4 linked regions of the Saccharomyces cerevisiae S288C genome follow. Changing the gene in region 2 together with the main gene of any one other region gives a genetic interaction. Each region holds a gene or a part of one and is shown on either strand. Other genes may lie near its edges.

Region 1 (2,999 bases), on a different chromosome or scaffold from region 2:
TATTGTGGTTTTTAAAGGAATGTAAGTAGTTGGGTAGCACTAAACAAATGTTTTCTTGCTCGCTAGTTAATTTTTATAAAGGAAGGACTGTAAATAGTTGGAATTCGAGAGGGGAGCAAAGAAACTGTTTCTTTCAGTTCAAATGGTCTTGCTATAGTGTCTTATTCAACTGAGTAGATATATATATTTGAATATGCTGTTCTCACTTTTGAAGTAAGAGAGGGAATGCGAAGATAAATACAGAATAATTTCATGTAGTTTATAAATAAACAATGGCAATTTTGAAAAAAAAAAAACAACAAAGCACGATGCGAAATGAGCGAATTCCGTCCCAGCGCGTTTCAAACGGTAAGAGCAAAGAGAATGAGTGAAGTGACAGGAATTTGGCATACTGGTACGACGAGACGTAAACAATACTTAAAGAGCAGTTGAACATTAGCATTAGAACGATTATTAGCTATTGATGTCCTGACGTGGTGTACAAACTATACGGAATCTTGTATATAAATATAGGTAGCTATTGACGATGGTGAAACACTAATCGTCCTTATTCTTCTGTTTCGACTTCAAAGCATTATTAACTTTGTCCAATTTAAATTTTTTGGAAAGTCCTTTTTCCAATAGCCAGTAAGGAACAAATATCATGACAAAACGCATGATGTTGGCGAACGTTCCTCTATAAACATCTACAGGGTCACTAGTGCTCAAGATATCTTTAACCAGTTGCTTTGCGTACGCATCAGCTGGCATGGGCTTATTGTCCTTAGCCATGGTTTTTCTTGAATTAAAAGCTTCCCTACCTTCAGGGAAGTTGTATATTGAGGTTTCAGGCAAGGGCCTTTTATCAGCGATATCAGTAGCCACACCGCCAGTAATAGCGTTAATCACTCTCACGTTGAAGGGCTTCATCTCTAGATGTAACCCACGAGCATATTGGTGGATAGCAGCTTTAGAAGCGGAATAAATGCTACCAAAGGGGAATGACACAACTCCTGCCAAGGAACCAGTGAAGACAATGGTTCCTTTCGCTTTAATAAGGAACTCCGACAATTCACGGCACATGTTGATATGACCAAACACATTGACCTTAAAGCATTGTTCTACTGCAGCATCTGTTGCATCCAATGCAGGGAATGTACAACTCTGACCGGCATTGTTGTACAATAAATCTAATTTACCATCAGGTAAATTAGCTCGCAAAAAACCAGAAAATGTTACAATTTCTTCTGGCTTGGAAATATCCAACTTATATGGTTTGATACTATCGTTACCAAATTGGATGGCCAATTGTGCCATTGGTTCTAGTCTTCTTGCACATGCATAAACCAAATAGCCATTTCTGGCTAATTCCTTCGTTACCTCATATCCAATACCACCTGAGGCGCCTGTAACAACGGCAATCTTTTTAGGTTGTGACTGTAACTCCGACATACTCTTTGAAATCCTGATCAATATTTGAATTGAGTATATATTAATAGAAGTTGGGCATGATGAATAAAACTTATTCACTCTATTTACCTACCCCCTTCCCCCTTTCCATTGACTTATTTTTCACTTTTTTTCTCCACCGGATGAGGACAAGAGAAGCACCTAGCTGTGAATACACCAGAGGAGGAAGTAGGGGGAAAAAAACGATATCAATATAAAGTAAAGAATGATTCTTGAATAAATAGTAAATACAACTAATAAAAAAAGGTTCACATAAATAAAACGTTAAATTAAATAATTTTAAAAAGACTAAGCAGATGCTAACATCATGAACAAAAAAAAAATGTGAATGTATCAAAAAAAATATTTGTTAGATCATTCTTCAAGTAAAAAGGCTGTCCATAAACATTAAGGTAAAAATATTACGTGTTTATATGGCTGTATTTTCATGTTTTTCATATTTGAATTCATCTTTAGGATTGTTGGAAAACATCTTTCAAAAAGGCATCTTCTTCGGCCAAATGTAGTGATTTGCTACCGGCAGCAACAGCACCACTTGGGTTTCTACCACAGTATCTGACCTTGAAATCCTTATATTTATCCGTTTCTTTTAATGTTGTGTGTAAGCGTGGTTCTGTGTATGCCCACGAACCCATGTTCAATGGCTCTTCCTGGCACCAAACAATTTCTTCCAAGTTTGGATAAGAATTTAATGAATCACGTAGCTGAGCAAATGGGAATGGGTGCAGCTGTTCAATCTTTAAGAAAGCAGTGGTCTTATCACCCAAACTTTCACGTCTTTTATGTAGGGCAGTGTACACTTGGCCACTCAGCAAAACTAATCTCTTGGTTTCCTCTTTCGTACCAATACTTTTTCCATGTTCAATATCTTCGATAATCCATTGGAATCCGCCTTCAGTGAATTCGGAAAGAGATGATCTGGCCAATGGGTGACGCAGCAGCTGTTTAGAAAAGAATAACGCCAATGGTTTACGGAATTGACGATGTTGCTGTCTCCTTAGAATGTGGAATAAATTAGCAGGCGTAGTTGGATAAACAACCTGGAAATTACAATCCTGATGTTGTCTCTGTAGCTTTTCTTCAGATGGGAAATATCTTGGGTCTTCATTGGCTAGTTGCAAGAATCTTTCCAATCTACCAGACGAATGTTCTGGCCCCTGGCCATCATAACCATGGGGTAAAGACAAAACTAAACCAGAGCGTTGCTTCCATTTTTGTTCACCACCGGCAATAAATTGGTCAATAATAACCTGTGCTGTATTTGCAAAGTCACCGAATTGAGCCTCCCACATGACTAGATAATCTGGGGAGGTTAGCGAATAACCATATTCGAAACCCATTACACCGTACTCAGATAACGAGGAATTTGCAATGGTGAAGTCTGCCTTTTCATTATTCAGAGTGCTTAGCGGTGTGTAAATGGCTTCAGATTGTTGGTCATGCAAGACTGCATGACGTTGAGAAAATGTACCTCTTTCTACATCTTCACCGGAAACCCTAACGTTCTGACCATCCAAAACCAATGTACCGAACGCTAATGCTTCACCGGT
Region 2 (2,310 bases):
GATATTCTTTAAATTTTGATCTGTGACGGGAGGCTGCAGGTTTCGGATTCTTACTTTTAGATGGCTCATCACTGAATATAAAGAACTTTAGGAAAAAGATGAACAACAACACTATGCTTAGCTGTCCTACAAAAAACCCTTGAGCAAACGACCATCCAGAAAATTTGGAGGACGTTGCTAACGATCCTAACGAAGAAGGATGCAACACGCTTTGCATTTGCAAAGCTTGAATTGCATCATCGAGACCTTTGAAGCTCCCGTTTTTACTGACATTAAACTCTGAGTTGTTTGAAGTTTGCTTTAAGTCATTAGTAGTAGAACCCTTCAAATTCTCCATGATTAGTCTCTGTAAATGTTCAGGTAGCTCTTTGCTTATATAATCGTCAAACGTCATTAACGAATCCGTTTCGGTGGATTCATTCTCACTATCAGTCATTTTCAGAAAAAGGCTACAGGTATTATATTGACTCTCTCAAAGTTCTTTCATCTCATTGAGAAAATTATGAGGGGCACTTATTGTTGTAGATGATCTTTATTGGATGTTGACGGTTCTTCGGAATTGAAACGGATAGGCAGAAAGTGAAAAAATAAACTATTAAGGAAATACATGAAAAGAAGTAAACTGAAATGTATACAAGGGCAACCCGTTCCACGTTGGATTGACTCAATTGTGTCATCAGTAGGAAAATAGATTAAAGTAACCTCAAATAACGGCATAAGCAATGAAGCATAACAGGCAGATGCCAGATGAAAGCTTGGAAAACATAAAAGTGCTACTGAATCCTAAATTAGGAAAGCCAGTCAAGTCACTTACGAGTGCACAATCAAAAGCTTGCTATCATACGCTGATCAGTAATAAAAATTTGAACAAGACAAGTGATGAATACGAAAAGTTATTGGCAAACTATATCCTCCTTTGTGATGAAAAATACCTATGTAAAACCGTAATTCCAGATTCCCGATTTTGGGCTATATTGTGTGATAATTGCCAAAAGCTAAGGTCAGAAACGTTGGTAGCAAATCTCATTAGGATTTTTAATGTAGCCCTTAAATGCCAAGATTCTAATAAGAATGAAGTTATTGTGAGCATCTGCCACATCTCCAGAGAGAACTCTCAGCTCATTGGAATACTTTTACAACTTTTGTCCCAAAGACCTATTCATATACCGTTGTTTACGGACACTATACTATGCATAACCCTATTTTTAAAATGCTCACTTACATTATGTGAGACATCACTATCACACGCCGTAGAATTTGTACCCAGAATCCTCATTTTGCTATTTCAGTATAACTTTCCAGCTTCCATGTCTGAATTACTTTACATAGAAGACTTGCAACCACTAATCCTTGAAGAATTTGTACCGTTAAAGCAGAGGCTAATAAATTTTCTATCTTCGGTTAGTATTGATGATTATTCCTGTTCGCTTAAAGCTGATCTTCTTACAGCCATCAAAGATAACTCCGTATTCCAAAAAGGGTTAGAAATGGAAATGGGCGATCTTCCCAGTATAAATTTATTAAATGCGTATGATACATTCACATTCTTAAACAGTCCTAATGGGTCTTTCAAGAGACTTTACACTGAACAATTGTTGTTTGGCGAGAACGATTTCCCTCTTTATGAAGCAATATTTAAACTTTCAGACCAATTTAGAAGACTTTTCAATCTAAGTGGGAAAAAAGAGAACCAATACTCAGACTCAGAGCGTGATTTAAAATTACAAATTGCTACCGCTGTTCTCAATCGACAAACATGTTTTTACAAAACACTCGAGTTGTTTTTGAGATTTTGGATAGAATCATTAGCAAAATCGCAAAGTGATTTGGTTTCACTGTTAAATTTAGCTATTATCACTTTAAAATATGTTTGTTTGTCATCCAGTGATTTGGAAGCAGCAATACAGACGAAATCCCTTCTCAAGACCCAAGTTGTTGCACTTGACTCTATGAGATATAAATTTGCAAGAACATTACAATTAGACTCAATCAAAAAAGAACAGTATCGAACCTGGTCATCTAGTATCGCTAGCTTCGATACCATGCTATCAGGCCAGGTTCGTGATTACGTTCGTCATCAAAGACTTCTTCAATTGCAAAAGGGAACGTGGGTTTACGCAGAGAACCCACTGAATCCTGAAGCTGGCACGCCTAAAGTCTACTTCCTCATAGTTTCAGATAACCACGCAAATTTATTAGCCAGAGAATTCGAAACACAAACAAACGATTTACCTTATCTATTCGACAATAAAATTTTAACAAGTCCAGGTTCTGAGGCATTAGCTAATGGCAGAACAAAAGTTGTTGTTT
Region 3 (3,423 bases), on a different chromosome or scaffold from region 2:
AGCACATCGGCCTCCTATATCGGTACTCATCACAGAATCAATGTATAGTATGTGTCAAGGAGAATGTATTAACGCCAAATTAAAGGCACACTAACATGTAATGAAGCTGGTGTTATATATTTTTTTTCAATTGACGTGAAACTCAGTGTCTTAGAATTATTTTTTAGTTCAAAGAGTACGGCTATTGAAGTGAGCCACAATGTCATTTAGCTTTATAAACACAAGAGTAAAAGTGCGCTTGTCTTCGCCTCAATGAATTAATGGAGCAGAAAATTTCTTAACGGTCAGCAATACTTGAAAATAATTTTAGCAGTTCAAACTTTCGTTGTTATCTTGATACTGAACTCTCCTTAGTATTCATATAAATGATTCTATTTAATAGTCCCCTCCGCAGGGTAATTTTAAGGCCTTCTTTTATTTCCAAAGGAATTAGTATATAGCATATAATATAATTTATCACCAAATCAACAGAAAATATCATAATAGCATTAACCCGCAAGAATTTCTTTAAATGAACACAGTTTTCTGCAGTGTTAAATAGAAATTTCTAATTATCCTGCATCCAAGACATGAAATCGGTATATTCAAGGAAATTTATTAGCACTGAAATGCATATATTCATTTTTGTTAGCCACGGAACTGAACTCTCATTATAATGTGGCGGTCCGGTTTCCCCTAAAAATAATTGAGGGCATATATGCATATCTTTTCGAGACTCAGGTTGAAAAAGAGCCTCCTTAGTTCTGCACATACATCCAATAGTAGGGCAGGAGTCCCAATCAAATTTAGGTATGTCCTCTATGCTATCACCCACCTCTGGTAAACAGCCAATTGCGGCCTTTATGATGAACAGTGAGGAATTCAAATTAAATTTACTCTCTGAGGTGAAAACCCATTTCATAATAACCTTTTTATCCTCTACAACATATACTGATCTAATTTCAGAGCATCTAACCAGTGTCAATATCCTAAAATCTTCCTTTTTTCCGAAGTTGAGCTCTAGTATGTGGGATATTCTCTCCTTATTGCGATAATAGCTTGTTTTCTTCACCTTAACAGTGCAAAAAAGAACTTTAAACAGAGTGAAACCGTCGCACTCTCCTTTTACCTCATAATCCGACTCTTCAGGGAAGTCCCCATTTTTCAATATCTCGTATTGATAAAAAAGAAAACCCACATAATCTCGCCTAACAAAAAAAGGCTTCTTAGTGCGGAAGGCAAATAACGGCAAGCCCTCTCCATCCGCCGTAAATGACTTGAAGGGATGCTTCCTACTTGCAAACAGATTTATAGATCGTTGTGATTTGAATATTAGATCGTCTTTGAAAACACGAAGCTTGACCATTCCAGTTTTCGTTACAGTATCAAATTTAAACTTATCCGGAACATCCTTCCTGTCTTCGTTAGCGTAGATTTCTTCTTCTATAGCCTTTACTCGAGGCTCGTAACCATCAGGATGCCACAGCATGATACTGTTTACAGAACTCGATCATATACTAGAACCTTTGACTTCGGTAATCAGCCCGCATCCTATGCTTTCATTTCCTTGGCGTATGTTACTGACTAGTTTCCTGGCTTAAAATAGGAGAATTCATCCTCTTAGTTATTTTCTTGGTGGACCACGTGCCTTGCTTAAAGCAGGGCGCTGCCGTTGTTGCAACAGCATTTTCAGACTTTCCTTTAGGTAAAAAAGGTCAACCAATAATTTTATTTTATTTCTGATGATGGTTGCGCGTTCCAAGAAAATCAAAACCTTGGGCCTCATCCTCTTCTAAGACGTATAATGCAATCAAGAAACCCTTCCCAAAACCTAATAAAGGCTTGTTATTAGTTTCAAATTCAGGCAGAACTCGACTTGGATCTTTTAAACTTTTAAAGTCGTAGAAAATAGGTGCATAATTAGCTAAAACAGAAGAGACTCACCATTTGAATTATATAACTTTATTAATTCGAGTAAAACATCCATCAGGTATAGCGTGTTGCGGAAAGACTTTTTTTACTCTTATTGTAACAAATATGTGTTACAATTTACCTGTAACCTTGTTCTGTATAAAATTTTCTCTCGTTGTCATATGCCAATCTTTATATAATTAATAGAAATTTAGGAGGAACACAAGAAGAGGGGTAGATCCCGACAAGCCTTAACATACAGACGTAAAATTACTCGCAAATTTGCGAACCACTTGGTCAGGTGCGGTACGTAAAACGAAGATTTGTACAATAAAAATATTGTTGGTTTAGCTAGATTATATTCTCCGATGATTTTTTAACTTCGATTTCCATCAAATTTTATATTAGACAGTAATGGAGTTTCAATTTCGAAGTCACTTCACTTGAAGCTGAATTATACTAAAAAAATTTTCTTTTACTTGATTTATTGCTCTGCAGTGTCTGATAGTGTAATGGCGGATAATGCAAAGAAGAGTAAAGGGAAGATATTTTATTTCTTTGATTATACAAAATTTTTAACTTGTATGTGATCCCTGTCTTTAATATCGTTTCATTATACAAACTAACTACAGAAATAGCTAAATGAGTGATTACTGTGCCATCATTTTGACTTCAAAGATCATCTATATCTTGATATAACATCTACCTGTCGAAAGTAAGATCATCCCTTTGCGGGCATGTAAGGTGTAAGATATAAGAACAAACAATTGCTAGAAAATAGCTTTGAATGAATGTTAAAAGGGACTGAACTTAGAAGTGTGCGATTTTCTGTTTTCAAAATTTGCCCAAAGCGCTTCTTTTCTTTTTAAGAATTGTATAGATGTAATTATTTAACGGATGTCTGACATTATTGAACCTTCCTAACTCCACAAAAATAACCAACGGGACCTCTACCTTACTAAACCACTTCCCGCCCCATTAACTAACCAGCATAACCTAGACAATACAAGGAAATGTACTTCGAAATTTTAAGGTAAACGCAATTCTTGTCACAATATAAAGCTCTCACTGTGCTCATACACTGCTTCGATAATAAAAACCAAATGGTTTCTACTAAAACATAGCAAGCCTCACAAGATATAGAGATCACACACCATTGAAAAAGAAAGTTCAGCAAGTTTGCTGGAGGTTGCAAAGAGACTAACGAAGGGCTTTCATAACGACATTTTACAGTTATTGATAAAAGAATGCTTTTACGACAGCAGAACCTATTGGTTTGAAGAAGATAGAGGTCTAGTAGTATATTGTTGCTTTAATGATTCAAACTCTTAACAATGTGGGCAAATATGCGTATGATTTCGTTCTGGGAAAGGATAGTAAGAAGCCTTTTTGATTACAAAACCGTGAAAGACGGTTTAGCAGCTTTTACAGGAAACCTGCTTTACCTTAGCCAGTGTTTTCTCATCTTCAAAAAAAAGTATTGTACGCAACTCTTCCATCTAGCAGAGCTCCCGCTCTTTTTCAAACAAGTTT
Region 4 (3,404 bases), 810 kb from region 2:
CCCAACCATTCGTTTGCGTCCTTTTTGCCCCAACCTTGATCTTAAAAAATTGCAAGAAGAACTTTATTTATCAATTCGCCCGCGAAGTTAAAAAAAACCGATCTTCGCAGGCACTCGTTAGAACTTAGAAACAGTTCCTCTTAGGGCAAGCGCCCTTGTCGTATTTAGCCTTCTTTAAGTTGAGCTGTAACGTTGTTCGAGTCCGAGAAGTATCCTTGACAGGGACGATAACCATCAGCAGGAAAAACGGTATTTTCATTTATATCCTTTCCTCGAGGAGGGCTTGAATTATGCAATCTCTAAATACTATTCAATTCAGAGAGTAGATTTTTGTGGGCAAAGTAGACGTCGCTCTCTTTCAGTATACGTTCTTGAGCTTTCCATTTCAATGAACCGGCAACTAAGTTGGTATCCTTTCATGATCCTGTCGAGTACATTTATAACAATCATGTTGATTGTTCCAGTATCATAGATAAAGCGGTCTCGTGTCGTTATTGATGGTAAAGCGTCAGGTTACGATGCCCTGAAAGGTTACAGTTTAGTTATAAAGTACTATGTAGTGAATGATATGTTAGTACTCTATAGCATGTAACGTCAAGTCAGAGAAGGAATTGATCCAGGGTTTTTCCTTCAAATACTTTCCTTCATCAAAATCGGTGAGTATTTGGCAGGACTTAAACTTCGGTGCTATTGAATCATAGTCTATATCAGATGGTGTGACCTTGAGTTTAGAGGAGTTGTTTCTGTTTTTTCTTTTTCTCTTTGGAATGAATGTTGCAAAACCATCTACATCATGTGCTTTTTTAACTTCTGGCGGAGCGTTAGTCTGCAAGTAATGAACTAGCTTGCTTAAATTAGGATAGTTTTCACAAAGTTTTGCTTTGGTGTATCTATCGGTGTGTGATATCATATTATTTGCCAGCCATAAGTGTGGTCGCTGTGACGATAGTATGTTCTCAGTTAAATCCAAAGGAGCATGGGGAAGGAAATATAATACCGATTCATAATCAATTGCATCGTTCTCTGAAAATTCTTCCTCTATCAGCCATTTGCTTCCTAAACTTTTCAAGTACTGTATCTCTTCTTTAGTAAATATTGGATCATACAGGGAAACAACGACATCCCTTTCATCCTCACTTTTTATATAATCAGTAATCTCTAGGAGAAGAGCGAATTGGTACGTCGCAGGAAAATCCTCCTTGAAATTTCCAATTGCAACACATCGTATTTTCTTAATGTTATTGAGGTGCGGTTGTAAATTTTCAAGTAAATCTGAGAGGAATGCTGATTTTTTCAGAACATCTCTATTTGTCTGAACAATTTCTTCAAACGCTTTAGCAGGCACTACCTTCTTGCCAGTTTTCTTAAACTTTGTCCCACTTGCTTTAAAATCCATACAGCAGAAGACCGGTCAAGGTCATTAACTTCGGTATCAGTTCAGGATCTTAGCAGTTTTCTAGAGTTCAAATAAGTTTTCACTTTTTTCATCGCTACACGTCGAGCAAGCATCATTCCTTACCCGACCCGCAGATAGTTTACTTCCCATAGAGCTTTTATTATAGTTTTACATCAACTAAGGATGTTCAAACCGTCTCGTTTCCCAAATATGCAGTCATGGAATATGAACACCTGGTGGTATTAGCTATTTATTTTTACACGAATAATTATTTGTTATTTAGCAGTCGTTACAAATAGTAACTTTTACCAGCTAATTATGAAAAAAATGAGGAAGGCGTCAATTTTTGAAACAAACCTCTCGGCTTTCCTCTATTCATTTTTGTCTTTCTACAAGCAGCATTTGCGATCATCACTCTCTTTATCATAACTCACTGTACCCTGGGCTGATCCATTAGCACCCAATGAGCCTAGAGGTTCATAGCAAAATATGAAACGACCAACGATAGCACCTATTAAACAACTAATAATGATATAGCCGTTATAGTACATGAACAGCAGCATGATGATATAAGATAACCCCCACTGTAATACGAAAATAGTAACTCTTATCATGTGATCCAAAAAAGTTGGGTACAAATCCACTGGCGTTATTAATGTACAGCATGATAGGACCTTCTTTAACAGGTCGTCTTCTGGCTCGTTCAATCTCCTTGGACCCCAAACGTAAAAACTATAAATGAAACTTTTTTGTAAGGAAATTAAAGTTGTTTTCCAGCTTGGTTCGTTGTAAAAGCCTTGTAGTTCTTCTATATCAGATTTAGCATCCTCTTCTCCACATTTGACAACGTACTCCTCTGGCGAGTAACTAGCTAAATGCTTTATTTTCTGTCTTTTTAATAGCTCTACGTCAAATTGCCTTGAAAAACGAGTAAGCCATTGAGCTACCACCACAAGCGCAAAACAGCCGATGCAAGAACCAGCAAATTTTCCTTTGGTGTCATTTCTCCAAGATCTGGCAATGAAGCAGGTGTCAATGGTATACCAATTCCATAACATCGATATTTTACAAGTCGCTTTTTTGGCAGCAGTGCTGCTACTGCCTCCCATATTCATCTTTGTATAGCCCTTAAATGTGTTTTCGTCTGTTGTTATCCCTCTTCTTCGATCAAAGTGTTAGGAAATGAAATAAGATAAATTACAAGTCTATCGGAGAAGTGAAGAGAATGTGGATTTTGATGTAATTGTTGGGATTCCATTTTTAATAAGGCAATAATATTAGGTATGTAGATATACTAGAAGTTCTCCTCGAGGATTTAGGAATCCATAAAAGGGAATCTGCAATTCTACACAATTCTATAAATATTATTATCATCATTTTATATGTTAATATTCATTGATCCTATTACATTATCAATCCTTGCGTTTCAGCTTCCACTAATTTAGATGACTATTTCTCATCATTTGCGTCATCTTCTAACACCGTATATGATAATATACTAGTAACGTAAATACTAGTTAGTAGATGATAGTTGATTTTTATTCCAACATACCACCCATAATGTAATAGATCTAATGAATCCATTTGTTTGTTAATAGTTTAAATGTTTTTATCGGAAGAGGTTTTGTCATCACATCAGCAATGTTCTTCTTGGTCTCGATGTAGTATACGTATAAATTATTACCTGATACTTCATCTCTAAGTCTCATTGCCTTTGTGCCAAAAAATCTGTTTCTAAATTTCTCTTCATTTGTAGACTTAATTATACTGATCGTTGATCTACTATCAGTAAGTAAGCCTTTAATAATTGGTTTCTTGTTAAGTTCTTGCACAAGGTGACTGAGGTTATTCAATAGCGGTATAGCTTCACTGACTGCGTGTATTTCTGCTTCTGTAGTTGAAGTGCATGTTAACGAAGCCTTTGTCGACTTTCCTCCAATCACTTTTCCGTTGAGTAGGAAAATGTTACCAATTTGTGACTTGTAATATGGTTGGTTACCATATGAAG

The links.
Region 1: mutations in YLL006W-A (region 2) and AYR1 together harm fitness more than expected from each alone (negative genetic interaction), as found in Saccharomyces cerevisiae (one large-scale study listed by BioGRID).
Region 3: mutations in YLL006W-A (region 2) and YER186C together harm fitness more than expected from each alone (negative genetic interaction), as found in Saccharomyces cerevisiae (one large-scale study listed by BioGRID).
Region 4: mutations in YLL006W-A (region 2) and BER1 together harm fitness more than expected from each alone (negative genetic interaction), as found in Saccharomyces cerevisiae (one large-scale study listed by BioGRID).

What each region holds. Positions count from the first base shown.
Region 1 is NC_001141.2:124,636-127,634, reverse strand, and holds AYR1 (acylglycerone-phosphate reductase), read right to left. Parts: upstream 1,432-2,999; coding exon 538-1,431; downstream 1-537. Other genes in the region: alpha-ketoglutarate dehydrogenase KGD1, read right to left, coding at 1,902-2,999. UniProt on the Saccharomyces cerevisiae protein: Can convert acyl and alkyl dihydroxyacetone-phosphate (DHAP) into glycerolipids and ether lipids, respectively. Required for the biosynthesis of phosphatidic acid via the DHAP pathway, where it reduces 1-acyl DHAP to lysophosphatidic acid (LPA).
Region 2 is NC_001144.5:134,712-137,021, reverse strand, and holds YLL006W-A (uncharacterized protein), read right to left. Parts: upstream 678-2,310; coding exon 501-677; downstream 1-500. Other genes in the region: ERMES complex subunit MMM1, read right to left, coding at 1-436; LMO1 (Lmo1p), read left to right, coding at 723-2,310.
Region 3 is NC_001137.3:561,158-564,580, forward strand, and holds YER186C (uncharacterized protein), read right to left. Parts: upstream 1,469-3,423; coding exon 548-1,468; downstream 1-547.
Region 4 is NC_001144.5:946,360-949,763, reverse strand, and holds BER1 (Ber1p), read right to left. Parts: upstream 1,397-3,404; coding exon 572-1,396; downstream 1-571. Other genes in the region: high-affinity Cu transporter CTR3, read right to left, coding at 1,786-2,511.